4 linked regions of the Schizosaccharomyces pombe genome follow. The main gene of each other region encodes a partner of the protein of the gene in region 2 in a complex. Each region holds a gene or a part of one and is shown on either strand. Other genes may lie near its edges.

The links.
Region 1: SPOM_SPCC777.17C (region 2) and mrpl38 share a complex: the UniProt entries of both Schizosaccharomyces pombe proteins name them as parts of the mitochondrial large ribosomal subunit.
Region 3: SPOM_SPCC777.17C (region 2) and mrpl12 share a complex: the UniProt entries of both Schizosaccharomyces pombe proteins name them as parts of the mitochondrial large ribosomal subunit.
Region 4: SPOM_SPCC777.17C (region 2) and mrpl23 share a complex: the UniProt entries of both Schizosaccharomyces pombe proteins name them as parts of the mitochondrial large ribosomal subunit.

The regions. Positions count from the first base shown.
Region 1 is NC_003423.3:3,549,394-3,552,612, reverse strand, and holds mrpl38 (putative mitochondrial ribosomal protein subunit L38), read right to left. Parts: upstream 1,270-3,219; 5' UTR 1,266-1,269; coding exon 1,224-1,265; intron 1,181-1,223; coding exon 1,123-1,180; intron 1,060-1,122; coding exon 779-1,059; 3' UTR 722-778; downstream 1-721. Other genes in the region: SPOM_SPBC887.08 (uncharacterized protein), read right to left, coding at 63-311, 370-495; sorting nexin Snx3, read left to right, coding at 1,978-2,061, 2,111-2,176, 2,232-2,428, 2,509-2,593; RNA-binding protein Cwf29, read left to right, coding at 2,732-2,736, 2,827-3,219. UniProt on the Schizosaccharomyces pombe protein: Component of the mitochondrial ribosome (mitoribosome), a dedicated translation machinery responsible for the synthesis of mitochondrial genome-encoded proteins, including at least some of the essential transmembrane subunits of the mitochondrial respiratory chain.
Region 2 is NC_003421.2:1,617,425-1,620,817, forward strand, and holds SPOM_SPCC777.17C (mitochondrial ribosomal protein subunit L9), read right to left. Parts: upstream 1,635-3,393; coding exon 1,545-1,634; exon of another isoform or gene 1,496-1,544; coding exon 1,420-1,495; exon of another isoform or gene 1,290-1,419; coding exon 1,150-1,289; 3' UTR 722-1,149; downstream 1-721. Other genes in the region: SPOM_SPCC777.12C (ER stress response thioredoxin family membrane disulfide oxidoreductase), read right to left, coding at 1-223, 344-622; retromer complex subunit Vps35, read left to right, coding at 2,132-3,393. UniProt on the Schizosaccharomyces pombe protein: Component of the mitochondrial ribosome (mitoribosome), a dedicated translation machinery responsible for the synthesis of mitochondrial genome-encoded proteins, including at least some of the essential transmembrane subunits of the mitochondrial respiratory chain.
Region 3 is NC_003421.2:1,158,553-1,162,928, forward strand, and holds mrpl12 (mitochondrial 54S ribosomal protein bL12m), read left to right. Parts: upstream 1-1,903; 5' UTR 1,904-1,957; coding exon 1,958-1,992; intron 1,993-2,041; coding exon 2,042-2,528; 3' UTR 2,529-2,783; coding exon of another isoform or gene 2,784-3,440; 3' UTR 3,441-3,764; downstream 3,765-4,376. Other genes in the region: ipk1 (inositol 1,3,4,5,6-pentakisphosphate (IP5) kinase), read left to right, coding at 1-1,574; Lsk1 complex gamma subunit lsg1, read right to left, coding at 2,784-3,440; protein Nro1, read right to left, coding at 4,317-4,376. UniProt on the Schizosaccharomyces pombe protein: Component of the mitochondrial ribosome (mitoribosome), a dedicated translation machinery responsible for the synthesis of mitochondrial genome-encoded proteins, including at least some of the essential transmembrane subunits of the mitochondrial respiratory chain.
Region 4 is NC_003423.3:4,217,721-4,221,144, forward strand, and holds mrpl23 (mitochondrial 54S ribosomal protein uL13m), read left to right. Parts: upstream 1-2,052; 5' UTR 2,053-2,182; coding exon 2,183-2,203; intron 2,204-2,245; coding exon 2,246-2,698; 3' UTR 2,699-2,896; downstream 2,897-3,424. Other genes in the region: mrz1 (ubiquitin-protein ligase E3), read left to right, coding at 954-1,760; scs2 (VAP family protein), read right to left, coding at 3,225-3,424. UniProt on the Schizosaccharomyces pombe protein: Component of the mitochondrial ribosome (mitoribosome), a dedicated translation machinery responsible for the synthesis of mitochondrial genome-encoded proteins, including at least some of the essential transmembrane subunits of the mitochondrial respiratory chain.

The sequences.
Region 1 (3,219 bases), on a different chromosome or scaffold from region 2:
AAATTAGACAGAGTGTGTAGTTTTGGGTAGGTACTCTTTGACAAGACAAAAATTTTTTCTAATTAATTGCTTTGCTTATTTTCAAGTTTCATTTCGCATCTTCTGATGATGTCTTCAATTTCATTGATTTCGCCTGAACTCAGTCTGTGGTACTCAATGCTGGAACTATCAGTTGGAACATCAAGTGCTTGAAATGCAAACTTTTTAGCTAAGGAATAGTTTCCCAGATAATATTGTTCTTCCGCTGCAAATTTTGATTGCTCTAAAATATAGGCTTCTTCACCGAGGACGACGCCATTTTTACTAAGATGCTGAATAATCTGTTAAAATCATAGACAATAAATTGGGAGTAAAAAATGAGTAACATACACCAAAACATTGAACTCTTGGAGTCCATCCATCAGTTTCAATGCTTACTTTCTGTTTTAATCGCTTATTCCGTTCAAGCTTTGACTCACTAACATCAAAATCCAAATCAATCGCCAGCAAATCCATTCTTACTAGAACATTAAATTCTTTTGATCGATCAGATATATTTAACAGATAATGGACTATATAATAAAGCCTGCTACAGCTGTATTTTACTAAAAAAGTGTGTAGTAAAAACCTTTTAACCCCACAATGCTTACGAGTAACAAAACTCCAAAAAAGCAAAATCTTAATTGGCTATCAGGTAAAAAGTGTTTGCTGAAGAGACAAGGTCCCTTAATTAGACGTAGAATAGAAAATTAAAAAATATATTTTAATTAAGTGAAATATTAACATTACAATACCCTTTTCAGATGGTTCGTGGAGCAAGAGATGCTATTTTAGTATGATGTTTTGTTCTGAGCTCGTTGGCAACGACTGACAAGATACGGGTTCCCAGAGGCTCACACTCCTTATTAACCAAGACGCAGGCATTATCATCAAAACGAACATAACGACCATCGGGTCTTCGAACTGGTGATTTCGTCCGAACAATGATAGCATGGTGGATATCACCGCGTTTAACTTTATTAGCAGCAGTAACTGATGAACCGCTTCGTGCCTTTTTTACCACTACTACCACTTCATCACCTGTTTTTTAAAAAAAGGTGATGTTAGTCGAATATAAACAAAAGATCACTTCGTGCTACTTACCAAGTGAAGCGAATTTTCCCGCGCGAACTACACGAATGCACTCAGCTAAGGTAGCACCCTTTTCCATCTTATTAGTACAAATAGTAATATTTTAAACTTACGGAATTGTCGATAACTTTGAGTATACCTTTAAGTCCGATCATTGCTAAAGATTCAAGTACTTGACCATACATTCACGTACTCGCTTCCACTATAAATTACACTATGCGTAATATTAGAATTTGGTATTTGACGTTAGTTGGCATATCGTAGTATGTAACACATCGCAAAATATATAAATAAAAACAACTGTTTGTATTAAAAAAAAAGCGATTTGATTAGATGCATTCAAATATGAAATTATTCCAAGCAAATTGTTTGTCATAACCTGTTATCTTGCTTTAACCTTCTGATGTTTTGCTTGTTACACATGTTTTAATCAAATTCTTCATCATGCATGGAGTTGTGGAATAGTCATTAAAGCAAAAATGTGATATTGACTAGCAATTGCTCTTATCATATTAAAATATCATAATGGATTGTATGCTACATATTTGATTTTGTATTACTCGTTAATTTTGTTGAAAGTGAGAGGAGGATTTGGACGTTAGTGAATCCATTTTATTTTTTGGAAGCAAATGAACTATCATTCTCATCTTTAGACGACGCAGTTTGAAAAAATGCTCTGCGATATGTTTACAGTAAACGCCTTACTAATTTGCGATCCGATTATGAATCTCATTAGCCGTACCCGTATCTGAGCTAGACACTACACCTTGTATCGAAACTTTTAAACTTCTTCAAAATTTCAACTATTACTTGTTAAACAGTAAAATAATATTGGATATCGCTCTTAAGAGTAATAAGGGTAAATAAATGGATAAATTAAGTAGACCGGAAATCAGGCAGCAAACTACTCAACAAATGTATGATGTTCCTGAAAACATCCTTGAAATTGATGTATGTTTACTTTATTATTTCGAAATATTTCTAATAGATGTTATTTTAGGTTATAAATCCACAAACTCACGGTATTGGAAGAAACATGTTTACTACTTATGAAATTGTTTGTCGGGTAGGTACCACTGAAATTCATCTTCTGATAGCAGATTATTAACTCATTTTTGTAGACCAATATGCCCTATTTTCGTCTACATAATTCTAGCGTTCGTCGACGTTACAGCGAATTCGAGAAATTTCACGATATGCTTGAAAGAGAGTCCGGTCGTGTTTCAATTCCACCACTTCCAGGAAAGATATTCACTCAAAGATTTAGAGATGATGTTATCGAAGAACGTAGACAAGGTTTGGAAAATTTTTTACGACTGTAAGTATTGAATGTTAATTTTGCCTTATTGCCCCAAAGAGCGTTTTAAATTGCACAAAAACTAATACATTATTATGTAGAGTTGCTGGACATCCTCTTATTCAAACCCATTCTCGTGTTTTATCTTCTTTTTTACAAAGCCCGGAATTCAAGCCTACGCCATAAACCCGCCGCTAACTTGTTTTTCTCCATTTTGCCCTCCAACTGTTAATTTTTGTCAATCTTTTTTTTTATTTTAAAAGAAAAATTTGGAAATCAATCTGTTACAAAGTTTAATTACCATTTAAAATACCTTAGGTTGTTATGAAGTAAGTTTTCTATTGAGGCTAAAATATAGCAAAAATCCGATTCATCTTTTCGCTGTTTTCGTTTTTTAATTTTAAAATTAACAAAAGTAGCTCCATTCGTCAAATTGAGCGTTTAAACGAGCAAGAGTTGGATAAACCTTTTAGCAGTTCTTGGCACCAAGATTATAGTGATAGTGCATATATTTACATCGGCAACTTAGATTTTGATTTGAACGAAGATGATATTTTATGTGTGTTTTCTGAGTTTGGCGAGCCAGTGGATATTAATTTAGTGCGCGACAAAGAAACCGGAAAATCGAAAGGCTTCGCCTTTCTAAAATATGAGGATCAACGTTCGACAGTCCTTGCCGTTGACAATATGACGAATGTAAAGTTACTTGACAGATTGGTTCGTGTTGATCACGTTGCTAGCTACAAAGTACCGCAAAAAGAAAAAGAACCTGCCAACTTAGTACCGTTAGGCGAATCAGGTAGTTCTCTTTC
Region 2 (3,393 bases):
GCTCTTTTTTCATACTTTTGAACCCGTCTTTTTCATATAAGGCGATTGCCTTGTTCTTGGGAAGAACCTGAGGAGAAACACGGTAGAAATTTTGATTATCGATGAAATAATAAGAAGGAATCCGAGAAATGAGTAAGCGTACAGAAAGTTCGAGGCTACTGCTCAAGTAAACACGGGCAAAGTGGACATCCGGATATTTTTCATGAAAAGCATGCGAAAGGTCCTAAAATTAGTTAGTACAGATTCAATTAAATCCAAAGATGGTTTAATTTATTTCCGAGGCTCAAAATTCAATCTCATAACAAGAGCATTTGGACAACATTAAATGCAGTCCATTACTTACGTTAAAAAGTAGCTCTCCAAGAGTACAGTTAGCACAGCCTTCAGCAGTCAACTGCACAAACCATTTGCCAGATTCAATGACATGATCCCAGGTTTTATCTGAAAGTTCGACAACGGTGGAATTGTCAAAAGCGCAAACTGGGTCTGTGTTGTATTTTTCATACGGTACCTGTAAGACATTCATAGCTTCAATGGCAGCTGATTCATCTCCTTCACAACTATAAGCTGCCACGAAATGCAGAAGTTCAAATAGAAACACAAAAAACAAATTAATTTTCATTGAAGCTGAATAAGGTAATGAAAAATATTTTCTCTGCTGCTTTAGCAATAATAAACACGAGTTATGAGATGATTTTGGATCCAACTCAAAATAGTTGGTAGCTGTGAGAAGAAGATGCTAGACGAGCTGATAGAGCAGAAACGATGGCCGCACAATACGCAGTAAACGTTTACCATTCAAGGATTTAAATTTCATATTAACTATACTATTATAGGAAAATCCAAAGCTTGTTATTGTAATTGAGAAACACTAAGCATCAACCCTGATAAAATATTACAATAACGATAATATTCAAACTCAGAAAGAGACTACGCTTCTAGTGAAGCCTTTTAATTAAATTTTTTATATTTTTTTATAGAAAAAAGTCAATGCTGAATACTTCGTAATTCTTGTTAGTAATGTAACAATATCTCGTAATGAAAAGCTAGAATTGTTCAAATTGCAGCTAGCTAAGCCTTAATTAATCCACTAATAAACTCAATAAATTCTTTTTATGTTGATTGAACTAAGTGAGAGTTTAGGTATTATTATTCCTTCGTTTTCGTCGAGAATTCGGACCCTTGTAACAAATGTGCTTTCATAGATTTTAAGGCATCAACAGCAATCGCTTGCTTCTTGGGGAAAAGTGTATTTCGATAATATCCCCTTGTCACTGAGACGACATCACCTTTTGTAAAGTTAGTAGTTTCCTACGACGGCTAAAAGAATGCATTTCTTATAATAAAAGGATGTAACCACTACCTCCCTATTATAGGTTTGAAATGAAGAACATTATAATTATGAAAAATTTAGCATACCTTGCCTTCCTAGCTTTGAAACTTCGTTGTTTAACAGTTTTACCAAAAACGGTTTTGGCTGTTTACGAAGAAACCTCTAAATAACTGTGTAAGTAACGGTGATTTTTTTTATAAGCTTGACATACCAGTTGCCCATAAATTCTTTGAAAAGGTGAGACTGCTAGTTCAAGGGAATTGAAGCGAAAAAATCGAGTTGTCGGTTTCATAATACTCATTTCAATTAAATGGGTGCACCAAGAAATCCGTCAAGAAAGTTTTTACAAAATAAAAAGAAAAGCAGCTTAAATAAATTCTCAATTGAATGTAGAATTCAAAAACCGTTAGTTTAGAGGTCTAAGACGAATCTTGTAGTGTGAACCTTTCCGATGATTAGATTTATAGTTTCTTTTAATTGTTATCAAAATAATATACTATTTAGGCGCGATATTTGTGATATGAAAATGGTCAATTTGAAATTGAGCGAAGCGCGATTCCAAGCTGTGCTGCGCGCAATACTTCAAGATCTACCAATATATCTCAACCAGTACCACCAACTTTATTTGTAGACATTTCAACGAACCCATTATAAAAAACATTGCTAATATTAGTGAATTAAAAAGAATAACAAACATCCTGTTTTTCTGTTCGAAAGTTGGGCCGCTAGTAAAACTATACTGAAATTACAATTACGTTGGTTAAATTGAAACACTTGGAAGTGGATATTTAGGGCTCTATGAACGGAATTAATACTGCTAACGAAGAAATTACAAGGAGCTTGGAAGAGTCCTTAAATATTTGCAAGCAGTCTAGTAGGCTGATGCAAAGAAACTTGCAGACAGGACGATTGATGGATGCATTTCGTAATTGCAGTATTAGTCTCGTGGAAATGAGAAATTCTGCACTTACTCCAAAACAATACTATGAGCTGTATATGTTTAATATGGAAAGCTTGCGTTTACTTGGGGGCACATTGCTGGAAACGCATCTGAACGGTACTCACAACCTAATGGACCTTTATGAACTTGTTCAATATGCCGGTAGTATTGTCCCTCGTTTATATCTCATGATAACCGTTGGAAGCGCTTATTTGGAAACGCCTAATGCCCTTGTACGTGAAATTATGAATGATTTGTTAGATATGTGTAGAGGTGTTCAGCATCCGTTAAGAGGTCTTTTTTTGCGCCATTATCTGCTTACCCAAACAAGAAAAGGATTACCTTTGGGATCAGAAGATGAGGAAGATGCATCTCGCAAAGGAACCGTACTCGATTCTGTTAAATTTTTAGTTATCAACTTTACGGAAATGAATAAATTGTGGGTTAGAATCCAACATCTTGGTCCAATTAAAGAATTTTCCAAACGTACCCAAGAAAGGAATGAGCTAAAGGTTCTTGTTGGGCTGAATTTGGTTCGATTATCTCAGTTAAACCTCGATATAGACACTTACCGAGATCATGTCCTTCCTGCCATAATCGAGCAAATTATTGAATGTCGGGACTCACTTGCACAAGAGTATCTTGTTGAAGTAATTTGTCAGGCGTTTTCTGATAATATGCATCTTCAAACCCTCGATACATATTTCGGTACGGTCATAAAGCTTTCTCCAAGCGTAAACGTAACCCAACTTGTGGTCGCTATGTTGAATCGCCTTACGGACTATGTCCAACGTGAATATGAATCTGATTCTTCTAATGAAGATGAATCTGAGACTGTAACCGAAAAATTAGGAGACATAAAAATTAATGAGGAAGTACAGCAAAAAGACGAGCAAGAATGCCCTGGAGATAAAGTAATTCCTCCAGAATATGCTATTCAAGAGGTTTTATGGTCACATGTTGTTGAAGTTATTCAATCTCGTAGTGGTCTTCCACTAGATTGTATTGTTTCTATACTTTCTAGCATCCTCAATTTTTTCTTGCGGTGTTACCCTTATAAACCCCAGTATGCAGATCGTGTTTTTCAATACATTAACGAACATATCATTAACCAGCCCTC
Region 3 (4,376 bases), 460 kb from region 2:
CTTGCAAGGAGGTCAAAGGCTATGTAAAGAAGGCAGTTGAAATGATTAAAAGAAGAGATAAAAAAGTAAAAGAACTTGAAAAAATTCAAAAAGAATTATTGGTTGTTTACGAATTGCCTGATCCTGAAACCAAAAAAAGTAAAATTAAAGCATTACAAAGCCAGCTTGTCCGTGTCAATGGTGAATTGGATGACCTTCAGAAGCATTTAACTTTGTCCTTCCCAACTCTTATTGCAAAAAGTCGTGTTTTTTTTGGACAACTTATGAAGCATTTTTACTGCTTGCAACTTCAAATGTTTCGAAAAATGCACAACATTGTTCGCCCTTGGGATTGTTTTCAAGACGATATTCCCCAAACGTGGCTCGTTGAGTTTTCCTCAGTTTGCCAGGCTGCTGAAAGCATTTCCTTAATTGCCGTAAACAACAACCGTCCTCCCGTAGAACTTCCAAAATCTGGTGATGTTTTATCAAATAGAGAGTGGGAAGCTGGAAAAATTGATGCCATGAATTCTCTCATCGCTCAGAATTTGCATACTTCAGCGTCTCAGGTAAGCCTTTCGCCTATGGCTAGTACCGCTAGCTCTTCTGTTACAAATTCTCCCGTTGACACACATACTCCTTCAACTCCAATTATGTCGCGTCCTCCATCCATGAAAGCCCTTTCTTCTGGTGTAGAGTCCCAAGATGAATCGGTTGCTAGTAGTAATTTTCAAGTTCCAATTATATCGAATCCGCTTTTTAAATCCCCTGCACCTTATTCACCAACATCCGTTATCTCCAATCATTCCTCCACCGGTAAATCCCTGGTGATTTCTGAATGGGCATACCTTGCCTCAGGAAGTGCGAATGTGGTGTTTGAGTATGTTGGTAAAAATCCTTACTTTCAAGACAAGGTAATTCGTCTTCGACGTCGAGGACAGGTTTTTACTACAGAACAAGTTTATGAATACTATCAAAATGTAATTTATCCTTTGTTTGCTGGAATGGAAAGCTTTTTAATTGAGGTTTTTTTGCAGCCAGTTACTAGGGATTTTTTGCTGGCGGCCCAAAATGCTTCTGGTATTTATTTAAATTTAAATGAGCAATACTGTTTGGTAATGAAAGATCTCAAAGATGGAATTGAAATGAAACCAAAATGGTTGACTCAGTCCCCTGCCGCTCCACCTGACTGGGTTGTTTGTCGAACGTGTGCCCTTAGCCGTATGCGTGGTAGACCCGTTGGTTTTTGTCCTCTACAGCTTGATTTCAACAATTGGCCCAAGTTTTTGTGCTGTCTTCAAGGATTTGTGAGTCCTGATATCGCAATGAGATTGTTTCAGTCTGGTATACTACGGAAGCTTCGTGACCTACAAGAGCAATACTCTCGTACTGATGTTGCGTTAGCGATGACCCTTCGAGATGTGACTTTATACATTGGTAAAGATCACATAACATTACTAGATTTAGATCCTAAAGACATGAATACCAAAATGTCTAAATGGGAACGTGATGAAAGGAATTTGATTGAAGGCGGTTGGTACTATGGTCGTGGGATGAAGTCTACTGACAAAGCATGCCGGAGCAGCATAAAGTAATTATCTCATTGTTAATTTTTTTTCTAATATGTAATACCACCATCAATTTGTGGATTTATTGCAATATTTCAATACATTATGCATTTTTGTTTTATTTGTTATATGCCTGATAATTAACAGGGAGATAAAAGCATAAAAATAAAGGGTTAGATTTATTTGTTCTCTTCAACTAACTGTTGAACACTTAATAATTCTAGAGCATTTTTTACTACGAGGTTAGTTTATTTTCTAATTATTACTAATGAAAAATTAATAAGATCCATTGAACATATTTTAGATATTTGATGAATGATCACCTAAAAGTTGTAGTTACTATACTTAACTTGCCAACCCCCATCTCACTTGCACCTTACTTCACCTCAAGTATAATTTTAAAATACAGCATGTTTCGCATCGCATCACGCCAAACAAGAAATCTGTAAGATTGTAATTATTTTTAATTAACAAATTTATACTAACTTTAAAAGACGTGCTTTATCTTCCAGTAAGAACTGGGCAAGATCGTTGGTAAACACGCGATCATTTCGAGCTGCCGCATCTGTACAAAACAATAATGCCCAAATTGGGGAAATGGTTGACAAAATAAGCTCTCTATCATTGTTAGAGACGTCTGAACTTGTAAAGCAATTAAAGGAGAAGTTAAACATTGCTGAAATAGCTCCGATGGCAGCAGTGGCTCCAGCAGTAGCTTCAGCCGCTCCTTCTGAAGAGAAAGCTCCTGAGGAAAAGAAAGAGGAAAAAACCACCTGGAATTTGAAACTCGAATCGTTTGATGCTGGTTCGAAAGCCAAGGTGATCAAAGAGGTGAAGTCTCTTTTGGGATTATCTCTTGTGGACGCAAAGAAATTCGTTGAAAGTGCTCCAAAGGTTTTGAAAGAAAATATTTTGAAAGAGGATGCTGAAGCTATAAAATCGAAGTTAGAGAAACTTTCTTGTAAAGTAGTCCTCGAATAAACTGGGTTGTTTATAAAAAATTTCATTTCTATGCTTTTCCGCCATTCAAATTCTTTGGGCAACCTTTTTGTTATTGCTTTGACATTGTGACACGATTTACTTTCTTGGATTCCCATAAAAACTAAGCTACGGAGGGAAAATTCATCATCTCTAAAAAAACCAGATATTAGGTAATGTATAAAATACTCCAAAATTATTAGTTAATTATATGTTTTTATTCTATTTGGGTTACACTCTATGTTTTCGCTCTTCGGTTCAGGAAGTTGCATGAAGACATTCATTAAACTTTTCGTATTCATCCTTTAGGGATTCCAAATCGCTTTCAGTAATTCCTTGGGTAGTGTTCCATGCAATTTCCGCTTCTAACTCTGGTTCTGAAATAGCCCAAATGTTTTCACGCATTCTTTTGTGTCGCTCTCTGTCTTCTTCAATCCTCTTAAGAATGTCGTTTTTTGAAATGGCTCCTGAAGTACTGGTATCACCTGACTTGCTCGCTTGTTCATGGGCTTCTACCGTAGCCATAGCATCTTTATATTGATTATCATCGATTACCTTCTTTTCATGCAAAGACTGGAGTACTTTTCTAACCTCTGGAGCGTTAGCAGCTCCAGCAGCTCCTATAGGAGCTACGTTCTGGACTAGCTTACAGATATCTCTACTAATCATATTAAGATATCCACCTGTAAGGCCATTTTTTAAGCACATCTCACAGAGTGTGTCCACAAAGTACATGATATTCACTCTTGTATTGAACGAACCTGACTCTAGTTCCTCCCATATACATGAATATAAGTCTTCTTCCAAGTCTAGATGCTTAATTGCAAATTGCGCGGGTTTAATTTGAGAGAATTGCGATGCATTCAATTTTCCCAAAAGCTGTAGAAATGTCATGCGGCCCTCAAATGGATCCATTTTATTATTGCAAGTATATTGGTAATTGCGAGTGCAACAACGATTTTTGTTATGATGGTTTTTCTTATACTTCGTGAACTTTGAATTCCAAAAACATCAAGAATAATTTTTTAAATAATAATAATGTGTGTTGTCTTAAATTTCAAATATAGAATAAACTTCCTTTGCCAAGTGTTCATCTATTCTTGAAGCTGCAATCTCTGAAATTTGAGACTAAAAAAAGCGTTGGGATACTATTTTGCGAAAGGACGTTGAACCTTTCCAGATTCAAATAAATTAAAATATACTCAGTGCATAAGTAATATTAAGAGGTCTTCAAACTGTTAGCATGTTGCAAAATCTGTTGCTTTAAGTAGCATGTTACTTTATTTCAAACACTATTACTGTACCTTTAAAGAAACTAAAATCTCATTTTATTAAATACTACTTTTTTAGTAATTTCAACAGCGAAATAGTAAATTTTCAAAGATATTTTTATATAGCCCTGATAAAGTTATAACCATTCACCAAACTGTTAGGATCTCTGAGTATAAATAGCGGGAAAGAATAACTACTATACTTTAATAAAAGCACAAAAACCGACCTTACTTATATGGTAAAATGAAACCCATGAATCAGTAAACAATTTTTATTTTTTTATACGCTCTACTAAGTCGTACATACAAAATCAACATTTCCTTTCAATAAAGAACTGCTTTGAAATCTAAAATGGCCAGCGACAAACTTATAAGGTTTGCCTAAAAAGTAAATATAATGGAGAAAAATACTCTCGAAAAGAGAAAAAAAATGCAGGATGTATTGTTCAAGGAGAAAAATATAACAACGGGATAATGATATAATGGAAATACACCCGTCAAGTTGCAAGTAAAAGCGATCCTAAGCAGAATAAGCTTCTACAAACTCAACATAATCAGGACTTAACTCAACACCTGATCC
Region 4 (3,424 bases), on a different chromosome or scaffold from region 2:
TCTTAAAAGGCAAATATTGAAATCAAAGATACGTAGCTGTTTCAACTATAAACAAGTACATTCCAAATTTTAAATCTAGAGATTAGGGTTTTCCACGGTAGTTTAAAGAGCGAAAAGGCATTCAGATGAACAAAAGATGCTAAGTTTTTTAGCTAAACCCGCTTATACTTTCTTATTTCTCGAGGACTTTAGCCTCTCTACTTACCTAAAAGTTTCTGTACAGTGCAATACAGGTTACTTCGTTATATTTTTTAACTGTTGACTACGCAGTTCGGTATCTGTTTAACGATACGAAAAATTGCGGTACGTTTCTCTAGCGACCTACAATATAGCGGTATGCAATATTTAACTAACAATGTATATTTATTGTTATAAGAAGTCTATTAGTATCGGTCACCGATATAGCTAATAACTGAGCTGAGGAACGAGGTTCAGTGGTAGCTCTATTTACAATCTTTCTAATAGTTTTTAGCAATTTATTTATGTATGCAGAAAAGCAATTTATCCGCATCTATCAGCAAACGAATCTTAAGTAATATCTTAGCATATGACATATAGTGATACGCAACGTACTGTATCATAGCTAGTGTAGTTCTGCTAACATTAACATGTACTTCTTTGTTTGTATTATGCATATAGCATTAACCGCGTTAAGCTAAGTTAACGTTACGAAGAGCGTACAGAAGAGATTCAGTTTAGTAACTGCGAATTGTTAATTGTTCTCATAACTTAGCCTACATCTAGTGTAAGACGACGATTGTGAAAATTCACCTTAAAAAATTCAACAAGTCTTGCAAATTATGACTTGAATAATTTTCCATTAAGAAGAATAAGCACACAATGTTTTTTGATGACAAGATAACTTGACATTCTGCCATTCATGCGGTTTCATACACATCAATTAATTTAGTGCATAAATACAATATAACAAGTTATTAAATTTTAGAAGAAGAATGAAAAAGCAATTCCTTGTACGTAAAAACTCGTCAAATTCTCGCTACCTTCGTCGAGATTGCGTTATATGTTTACAAAAAGATGGTCTTCGGGCACAGCTATCTCCATGTGGGCATGACCAGTTCGATTATTCTTGCATATGTCGCTGGATGGATCAATCCTTGACATGTCCCATCTGTAAGAGACACGTAGATTGTGTGTTTTATGGATTTCATGGGTCAAGTTTGTATAAGAAGTGGTATACTCAATCTTTGGGGTCAAATCAGTATTCGATTTCACGACAATTACTACGGCAGCCTTCATTTTCCTCCAGCGAAAACACTGACAGATTGGCCGATTTGCTACGCGTACGACGTTTCATCTATCAAAAGGCATGGAAAAGCTATGAAAATCCCTCGCTTTCATCACATAGGCAATATCAAATACCCACTCCTATCCAACTAGCTTCTAGCGCATCTTTATTAAAGAAAGTGGAAAGCTTTATTGCTAAAGAACTTCTCTTGTTTGAATATTTAGATGGACATCAAATTAACTTTATACAAATCTTTTTGATGGGTCTCTTACGAGTTCAGAATATTCAACATCCACAAACCATTGATGAATTAGCGGAATTTATAGGCCATGAAGAGTCCTCTATACTCCTCCATGAATTGCAAAGATATTTACAATTCCGTCCATTGTCGATAAGCAGCTACTTGTATAGCAAGCGATATTTGTATGGTCCGGAAGGCTTAACAATGGTTCAGCTGTTGAGTCAAATTGAAAACATTCAGCATGAATCTGGTCCTGAGACGGAAAATTCGTAATCAAGCGTTAATTGTATATTATTGCAATTTACTGTGATTCTTTGGGCTTATCAAAAATTAGTTTTATCATTGTATCGTTCATTGCCTTATTTTTTCTAATATATACAAATGGTATTTTTTGAAGCAATAGCTATTAGCTTTATCATGATTAGTAAAGGAGGTTCGTATTATGAATTGAAAAATCAATATTTAAGAAATAATAAATAAAACAACATTTTTGAAAAATAGAAATTTTGTAGGTAACAGTTACCTTACTACAGTTGCTTAGCATCCAATATTTACCCACACCTACAAGCTTGAGGAAACATTATTTGAGCAATTTTCCTACTTCTCTTTTATTAGAAACCACTGATATTGTACTGTCGCTTTAAGAGAAAAATCAGAAGGAACTGAGGATTTTATGATATAGAAATCTCAACGCGATGTCAACGTTGAATGGACAAGTATGAAATTAGTTTGACAGTTTCTTTTACTAACAATATCAGACAGCATTGGCTTACGCCAAAGTTTGGCATCATGTTTCTGCAAAAAATGTTCCTCTAGGTAGGCTGGCTTCCCAAATTGCAACTACTCTTATGGGCAAGCACAAACCCATTTATCACCCTGCAGCAGACTGTGGAGATGTCGTAGTAGTCACTGACTGTTCTGAAATTGGGATTTCTGGTCGAAAACTCGAAAATCATAAATATTATTCACATTCGGGTCAGCCTGGTCATCTTAAAGAGTGGACGATGGAAGAAATGGCTGCGAAACGGGGGCACAAGGATTTGTTGAGAAGAGCAGTTGGTGGAATGCTTCCAAGAAATAAGCTTTGGGATAGGAGAATGAAACGTCTTTATATTTACGATGGAGCTGAACACCCTTATAAGGCAAACATATTTCGTTCCTACCATAATCCTGTAAGTTCGCAAATTGCGAAGGAATTATTCTCGAAATAAGTGTTTAAAATCTCCTTTAATTTTAAAAGGTAGTTCAAAGAACAAAAGCCATATCCCTACTCACTTAAATTTCATTGATTTTTTGCATTAATGTTTGAACATTCCACAATGTCGTATGCCCTAAAAAGCTAACACATTTTAATATTGTTCTTTCCAAAAAAAATTATTTTATATAAATTAATGTTATTGTATTCACTATAAGAAGCTGTAATGTATTTAAAGACACATTTACGTTTGTGAACTGGTAAGAATGAATGTCTGGTAACCATAAGAGGACTACAACTTTTCTTGCGAGTAAAAAGTAGATAACATGAGACGTCGACATAAATAACGACATTTGGAAATTATCTCCAAAGCCAGATAAACGCGCTAAAAAGTACCCTATCGTTGTGAAGAGCAAACAAATTCAACAAACGTCAACCTAAAACCTTGCTTAGCAAAGGCCATATAAAGTAATAAAATCAAGAGCCATTAACTTAGGGAGAAGATTTTACACTTCTTATTAAACATATCTACGCTTTACATTTTAAAAGAAAAGATAGCCAATAAGGAAGAAAATCAGGCAAAGAATGATAACAATATTGGGAGGAATTCCTGGAGATTCGGTTAAAGAAGCACCAGTGGAACTCGAAGGGTCAGCTGAATAAGAGGGCTTGATTTGTTCCAAGGCGTTGTCGGAACTATGAGCACCTGCAGCAGGTTTTGCCCCTTGTAAAGATTCACGAG